Caenorhabditis elegans: one gene and its partner. The protein of the gene in region 1 interacts with the protein of each later gene in a pairwise test. Each region holds a gene or a part of one and is shown on either strand. Other genes may lie near its edges.

What was found. The genes of interacting proteins can lie anywhere in the genome.
Region 2: the proteins of rpy-1 (region 1) and F10D11.2 interact in a two-hybrid assay, tested with the Caenorhabditis elegans proteins (one large-scale study listed by BioGRID).

What each region holds. Positions count from the first base shown.
Region 1 is NC_003280.10:6,703,647-6,707,406, reverse strand, and holds the start of rpy-1 (43 kDa receptor-associated protein of the synapse homolog), read left to right. Parts: upstream 1-1,763; 5' UTR 1,764-1,863; intron 1,864-1,909; 5' UTR 1,910-1,913; coding exon 1,914-2,003; intron 2,004-2,134; coding exon 2,135-2,211; intron 2,212-2,260; coding exon 2,261-2,526; intron 2,527-2,571; coding exon 2,572-2,719; intron 2,720-2,761; coding exon 2,762-2,924; intron 2,925-2,976; coding exon 2,977-3,093; intron 3,094-3,239; coding exon 3,240-3,305; intron 3,306-3,535; coding exon 3,536-3,664; intron 3,665-3,713; coding exon 3,714-3,760.
Region 2 is NC_003279.8:8,436,625-8,440,384, reverse strand, and holds the start of F10D11.2 (uncharacterized protein), read left to right. Parts: upstream 1-1,776; 5' UTR 1,777-1,798; coding exon 1,799-1,864; intron 1,865-1,934; coding exon 1,935-2,009; intron 2,010-2,057; coding exon 2,058-2,264; intron 2,265-2,388; coding exon 2,389-2,532; intron 2,533-2,576; coding exon 2,577-2,765; intron 2,766-2,810; coding exon 2,811-2,897; intron 2,898-3,251; coding exon 3,252-3,479; intron 3,480-3,524; coding exon 3,525-3,590; intron 3,591-3,760. Other genes in the region: F10D11.3 (BAG domain-containing protein), read left to right, coding at 27-116, 193-357.

The sequences.
Region 1 (3,760 bases):
TCAATTTCAAATAGTTTTTTTTCTATTTCACGACATTCAATTTATAATTGAAGTTCAAATGTAGAGTTATTTTTTTGTAAATTAATCATGTTAGTGAAACATATTTTTTTCCAACTTACAATAAACCATGGCTCACTGTTCTTGTTGATCGAAATTTTTTTTTTCATTTTTAAAATTACGTCGATATGAAAATGTAGTGCTGAAAACATCAAGACTTATTTTGAAAATATATTTGGATTTCTAAAAATATTGTTTATTTAAAATACTTCAAGTGGGGCATCCAGAGGTGGAACTTTATTCCCTTAACATTTTATTGTCGAAACTGAAATTTTCCTGATTTATTTTTTCTAAATAATCCTTTTTCATCTTCATCCTTAAAAATATTTCTAATCTAATCGGTTCTTCTCATCGTTTTCTTCCACACAATTCAATGTGTCCCAACTCTTTACCCATCTCTTCACAAAAATGTCAATTTCTGTTCAATTTCCCATGGGAGTTCGATTTTCCGTTTCCCATCCTTTTCCAAACTCGGAGAGCTTGGGGCAACTCAAGAAAAAAAACATTTGGAATACGGATTCCTTAAGATGTGCATCAAAGTACTAGACCTCCTCTTCTTCTAGATCTACTTTCTTTTTCCCCGTATTCACTTCTTTTGTCCCAAATTTCTTTTCATTCCAAATTGGATTCAGTTCCCCTGAGAAGCTCGCCTGAGCCGGCGGGTCACATTAGAGAGTACTACTCTTCTTTTTTCCCGAAAATTTCAATTTGACAGAGTGATTTCAAATAGGGACTAGTACCGAAAAAACATTTTGGGCGGAGTTGTAAACGGTGAAAAAAGTTTAAAAGTTTGAATTTATCTTGAGTTCGGACTTCCTTTCGTTCTAAAAGTATATTGCACAAACACAGGTTTTTTTCGAACTCCAAAACTTGACTTCTAGTTGAAGTATATGTTTAGTTAGTTTTCTAATAAATATAGTTCATTCTAGGACTATTCCCATATTTCCTACCTGCCATTTTTCTTGCCTACAGCAATTTTTCAGTGTCGCTGGGAACTCTTGTATATGATATACATTTCTCCCATTTTAACTTTTTGTTGAAAGTTTCTTCTATGTCATGCCAGTAAACATGCGTGTAGGCAGATAGTTTATTTTGTGCAGTTTGCACTTTTGCGCTTGCTCTGATGTTTTTCTCTCAAATTGATTTTTATTCTATCCAATTGGCATTTTCATTTCTTATCTGTTTCCCATTATCTTCCACAAATTTCCCTCTCTTTTTTCGCCTCATTTTCCGTTTCCAATCCCATCATTTTTCGTTCATTTGCTCCCCACCAATTTTTCCTCAATCGTCTCATGACCTCAAATTGATGGATCACTTTCTCACCTATATCTCTAAATCTCCATGTCTATTCATACTATCTCATCTTCATCTCGAATATCAATCAAAAGTCATCCAAGAATTCTCGTCTCATGAAAATGTCAACACAAACAAAATGTGCTTGAGCTAATTGTTTTTTGTGGGGTGGAACTTTTTGTGCAAGAGCCTGAAATAGCTAAAGCATATAAAATCTACAGTAATCCCTTCATAATTGATCCTCTGGTACTCCATCATTATTGCATGCAGACTCAGAAATGGATTCTAAAACAATTATTCATCAATTGTCCTCTTCTTTTCTTTCTTTTATTTTTCACCATGCACATTTTTCTCTTTCTGCATCGAAAGATTTATAAAATAAAAACTTCAATAAAAATTTTCCTAATTTTCAGATGAGATAGGATTGATAATTTTTATTCGTATTTCACACACACGTAGAAAAAAGAAGAGCCATCACTAAAAACTACATGATTACTTGCCGCCGGTCTGTAGGTAAGATATATTGAGCATGAAGTTTGAATTATTGAATATTATTCAGGTCAATGGGTGTTTTTGTGTGTCGCGACAACATCAATCTCATCACGAATCATCGACGATCAATGGGACAGCGGCAAGCAAAGCAACACATGCAGGTTGGTAATAGTTTTGATATGGGGAATTTTTTTTTCGGAAACTAAAATTTATGCGAACTTCTGTGATGTTTTTTAAAATGTTTTATCATTCCTGTTTGGCATTCCCCAATTTTAAACATTTATTTCTGCAGGCTGGCGTCAAACTTTATCATCAACGACATTACGCACAGGCTATCAATAAATGGAGACAGTCTCTGAACAGGTTAAAGTAAGTCTTTCAGACGACTCCTCTTCTTTTCTATAACGTCCATTTTCAGCAATGCAGAAGACCGGTTTATCACTCTCGGATACCTTGCTCAAGCTCTTTGCGACCAGGGAGAATACGAAGGAATGCTTTCATATGCTCTATCACAAATGCAGTTGGCAACCGATCAAAACGATTCAGCAATGAAATGCGAGGCATTTTTGAATCTAGCAAAAGCCTATGAACGATTAGCAGATTTCACGAAAGCCCTCCAGTATGGCAAAGCATCGTTAGAACATCCTTCGATGGATCCCAGGACGCCTGGTTATGCACATTTAAGTAAGAATTTTCAATAGGTTCTAGACAAAACTGTGGCTATTTCAGCAATAGCACTTGCACACTTAGGAATGTCCCAGTTCCAACAGTGTCTGGAAAGTTTCGAGTCAGCAATGAATGTTGCCAATGAGACATCGGATAGGTTACTCGAATTGCAAATTTGTGTTGGTCTAGGATCTCTTTTTACTCTTTTGAGGTAACCGTACAGAAATGAAAAATAACACATTTTTATTTTCAGAGATATCACTAAAGCTCTGATATTTCTTCGAAATGCTCTCGCAATTGTTCAATCTGTTACTGTTGATGATGTTCATGCAAAGTATCGTTGTTTGATACTTTATCATTTATCAGTTGCTCTAAGGATGAAAGGAAGTCTGGTTGATGCCAAGGAAGCATGCGATGTAAGTTTTTATTTAAAGTTTAAGAACTTCAAAAAGTATTGAATGATTCCAGGAAGCTTCCCAGCTAGCTGTTGAGATGGGTAATCGAGCGATCCATGCAAGATGTATGTGCAGTTTAGCAGATATTTATAGAGAATTGGGAGAGAGTGAAGCCAAAGAGACTATCACTGTGAGTAATTTTAAATTCTCAGTTATTTCAGTAAAAAAACGTTATGCTTGAAAAGTTAATAATAACAACTAACTTTCATTAAAACTTGTATTAGAAATCAATGAGTTTTTTTTTTCTATTGTTAGATAATAAACTCTTTCTTACAGAAATCCTGGGCAAGATACGAAGATGCTTATCGTGTAATGCGCGGAGCAAATGATAAAATGGGCGAAGTAAGTGGCCAAAAAACCTTCAATTATTTATTGGTACAACCAAATACCTCATAAAACCAAAAGCTCACATCCAGGTCTCAATTTCTTTTCCCATTAAATAACTTTTACGACTTTCCCATAAATCTTGAAGCTTTGTGGTTGACACAATCTCACATAGAGATCAGACAACATGAGTATATTTCTGGGGAATTGTGAGAAAATAATTTTAATAAGTTCTGAGTGTTTTTCAGGTATTAGTGCTCTCGTCAATGGCAAAAAGTGCATCTGAAAGTCGATCTCATTACACTGGACAATGTGAATGTCAAGCTATTCAATTGAATAAAAAGTGTATTGAAATTGCAAATCAGATAGGGTGCAAGGTACAAAATCGATAGGATGATTCCACAAAACTTCAAAATTTTGTTTCAGCACGTTGTCTTAAAGTGCCATCTCCGACTAGCCGAACTATATTCTCA
Region 2 (3,760 bases), on another chromosome or scaffold:
TTTGTTGAGTAACACGGAAGTTTTAGGATCTTTACAAAGAAATTGTGCAAATGAGAAATGAAGATAGAGAGCAATATAAGCTAATGAATGGGCGGGTGGATGCATTGGAAAAGGATGTGAGTTCAATTTTAAAATCAATTATTGATAAAATTTTGAAATGGATATTTTTCCTAAGCAATTGTATTGTTTAAGAGATCTTTGCGTACCAAGAAGCGTCGCAAGATCAATAAGGATAAGACAAAGTTGGATAAAGAAAAGAAATCGGCTGCTCAGAAGGTTATTTCCACATCAAATATGACGAATACTCCCAAGATTACGGACGAGAACAAGGTGGCTGAAAAGAAAGAAGAAGAATAATGAACTTGTTGTAAGAATGTCTATTTGTTTATGTGGACAATAAATGAGTATCTGAAGTTTTCATTTAATATTTTCTGTTTTTGGTCAATCAGCGATGAGTAATTGAACTGGCCAACGTCGCTGATTGGCCGGCGATTTTCTCAACAAGATTCGAAGTTTCAACGTCCATTTTAGTTTTTCAGCAAGCTTTTTCTCCAATGTATTATTTTTTCCTTTTTGTTTTAACATCTGACTTCCTTTTTTGCTGCAGCCGCAAAACTGAATTTCACTAGGGAATATTCTGAAGGTGCTATAGGAACTTAGATTAAAAAAATTGATTCAATTGAAAGCCTACTCGGCATTCAGAGGCAACTTCCTGCCACACTTTGGCAACTTCCTGCCAACAACCTGGCAACTTATTTAGTGCCACTAAAATAAGTTGCCAAAATTTGGCAGGAAGTTGGAAACAAGCAAAATTTGGCAGGAAGTTGCCATAATTTGGCAGGAAGTTGCCTCCAAATGCCGAGTATGTTGAGTAAACTCTAAACTCTAATGAATAAATGGAGAAAAACGCTTTATTATCGGGGGACTGTAGTGGAGTGGTACGGTAGGGGTGCAGTTTTTTGGATGAGCTGGGCTTAGTGTAGGGATTACGTTGTTGTGATGTGTGCTTTAGGTGCTTTGTTTTTGCAGGTACGGCTGATATACCAAATTTCAAACTAAAATCAGTATACTCACTTCAAGGCAAACCCTCAACGTCAAGGCAAACCCTCATTTACTAGCGTGCTCATTTACTTGAACGCTCAATCCCTAACGATGGCTCAATTCCTTTGACGCTCAATTACTAATGTTTTCACTTTCGTTCGTTTACTAATGAATGGCTCATCTACTTTGATATTTCATTTACTAACTTAAACTACAAAATTACTTTTAAAAAAAATTTCGGCAACCGGCAACTTTTGGTTACCGAAACTTCGGCAACTTTTCGGAAACCGGCAACTCGGTTGCCGGTTGCCGCACAGCCCTGGTATATGAGCCATTCATTAGTAAACGAACGAAAGTGAAAACATTAGTAATTGAGCGTCAAAGGAATTGAGCCATCGTTAGGGATTGAGCGTTCAAGTAAATGAGCACGCTAGTAAATGATGCCCTAACCTTGCACTGCTCTTTTCTGGTCTTTTTAGAATGTAGAATACTCTTCAATTAGCCAAATTACCAAAATTGAGTGTTTTTTTTCAAATTAATTGAACATTTTCCTATATTTGTATATCAAGTTTAGATTGAAAAAGTTCGATTATCATTCTGTAGAAGCAGTTTTTCAAAACTAGTTTGATGGATTTACGGGAATGATTTCCTTGTTTACAACGAAGCTCCGAATTTCCGCATACGCGCCTTATTTATCGTAAATTTACATTTCATCTGGTATTTGTTTAAACTAATATTCCTTGCAGGATAACTATCAATGACGGATTTACAAGTTTTTGAAATGAATCCTCAGCTGAACTTTCCTATTTCTGATAAAACTATTGTAAGTTCTTCGATTGTTCATTTTCAAGAGTTTCCTTTTTCGTATTTATTGAAAATCGATAATTTTCCAGTATCAAATGGGATTCAACTCAAGTGCTGCTCAACCATCTGCTGCGAACTATGTTACAGAGTCGAATTCATTAACAGTAAACTTTAAAAGTTCCGAAAGTCGAAAAAATCGATATTTTTTTTAGAATCATCTGCAAATATTGGACCTTTTGAATCCCCAAACTTCCAGTGGCAGCGACGATAAGAAAAGACAGTTTTTCGCAGATTTGATGACTCCACATTATGAAAAACAAGCTGAAATTGAAAAGAAAATTGATGATTTATCGGAAGTTGTTCATCAGTTTATTCAGTCACAGCAAAGTTTGAACAAACTAATCCTTGAGAAATGTCTGGTAAGTTATTACTTTTTCCAATATTTTCCTTAATCTACATTGGAACATAATTTCTTTTAAATATTTCATTTGTTTCAAATTAGATATTATTAATATCCATTAGACTTTTGCTTCTTTTCTACAGGGTCGTATTCCGTCTCCTCGAATGACAAGTCCACATCAACCTGAAGATAATTCAATAGATGACATGGATCCTCCTGTTCAAGAAGAAATCGAAGAAAAAATTGAAAATGATACTTTCGGTCAAAACGAAGTTACTGTGAATCAGGTAAGCGTTATTTCGAATATTTTTTCCAATCAAAACCGTTTCAGCAGCCAATAAATAATCCAATGCCAGTTTATCCAGTTCCCATTTCACATGAACCTGCAAATCTTCATTCACCGATTCGAAATCGATCAATATCTCCGGAAAAGATGGATACAACTGGAAATTCAGGAGCAGGAATGTCTGTCAGAGATTTTCTAAAAAACACAATGACAGTACAGAAAGCTGATGAAAAGGTATAGATTTTAATCTGAGTTCGGTATGAAAAATTAAATTTTCAGATTTTGGAAGAAGAATTAGAACGGGAGCGTGATGAAGCGGCACAAACAGTGAGATACAACAAATTTCGAGTTAGAAATCGCCCAAAGGTGAGTGTTTCTTTCGAAAAATATGCGAATTAACTTGTCCATTCATAATTTTTAATGCTAATACCTGAAGTTAATTTTAACATTTATTGAGATTCTCGAAATTTCTTAAAGTTTGAGTAGTGTCGGTTGTATTTTCCCTAAATCACAAAAAACAGTCTCAATATACTGAATATAACTGTTTAAAATAAAAGATTTAAAAATTTTATGCTTTAAAACAAGTTTCAATTTTGAAAAAAAATATAAACAGAGATGTTAAATTATCGTTTCTTCAGCCAATTCTAGAGCTTAAGCCATTTTCTGTTTTATTACAGACAAAAAAATCCAAAACTAAAGTTTTCAATTACTTTATTTCAGAAATACAAACGAAGTGCTGTAACATTTACATCATCTCTTGAAGCAGCTACATCATCATCTTCATCTACAATACCTCATCAAGATCAGGGTCCAACATTTTCAACACATTCAACAATTGGAAATTCATCGGATACTAGTCAATTAATGGAACAATTGGATCAATCACAAAATGATTCAATCGATATTGAGGAAAACGTTTATCAACCAATTGTAGTTCCATGTGTTCAAGTATCCTGGAATTCAACTATTTCTAATAATTATAAATTATTTCAGAGAGCTCCAGAACTTGACCTTACTCTCATGCAACCAGTGTTTTCCACGGCTTCTTCATACGTTCTCGTTAGTTTTTTCTCCAGAAAAAATCGAAAACGAGGAAACAATTACAAAAAAATTCAACTTTTTATCAAAAAAAGAAGAAAAATGATCAAAATTTAAAGCTATTTTTTGAAATATCATAAAACTAAATTTTTCGATTAGAGTGAAAAATTGAAATACCGACACTCTTGGTG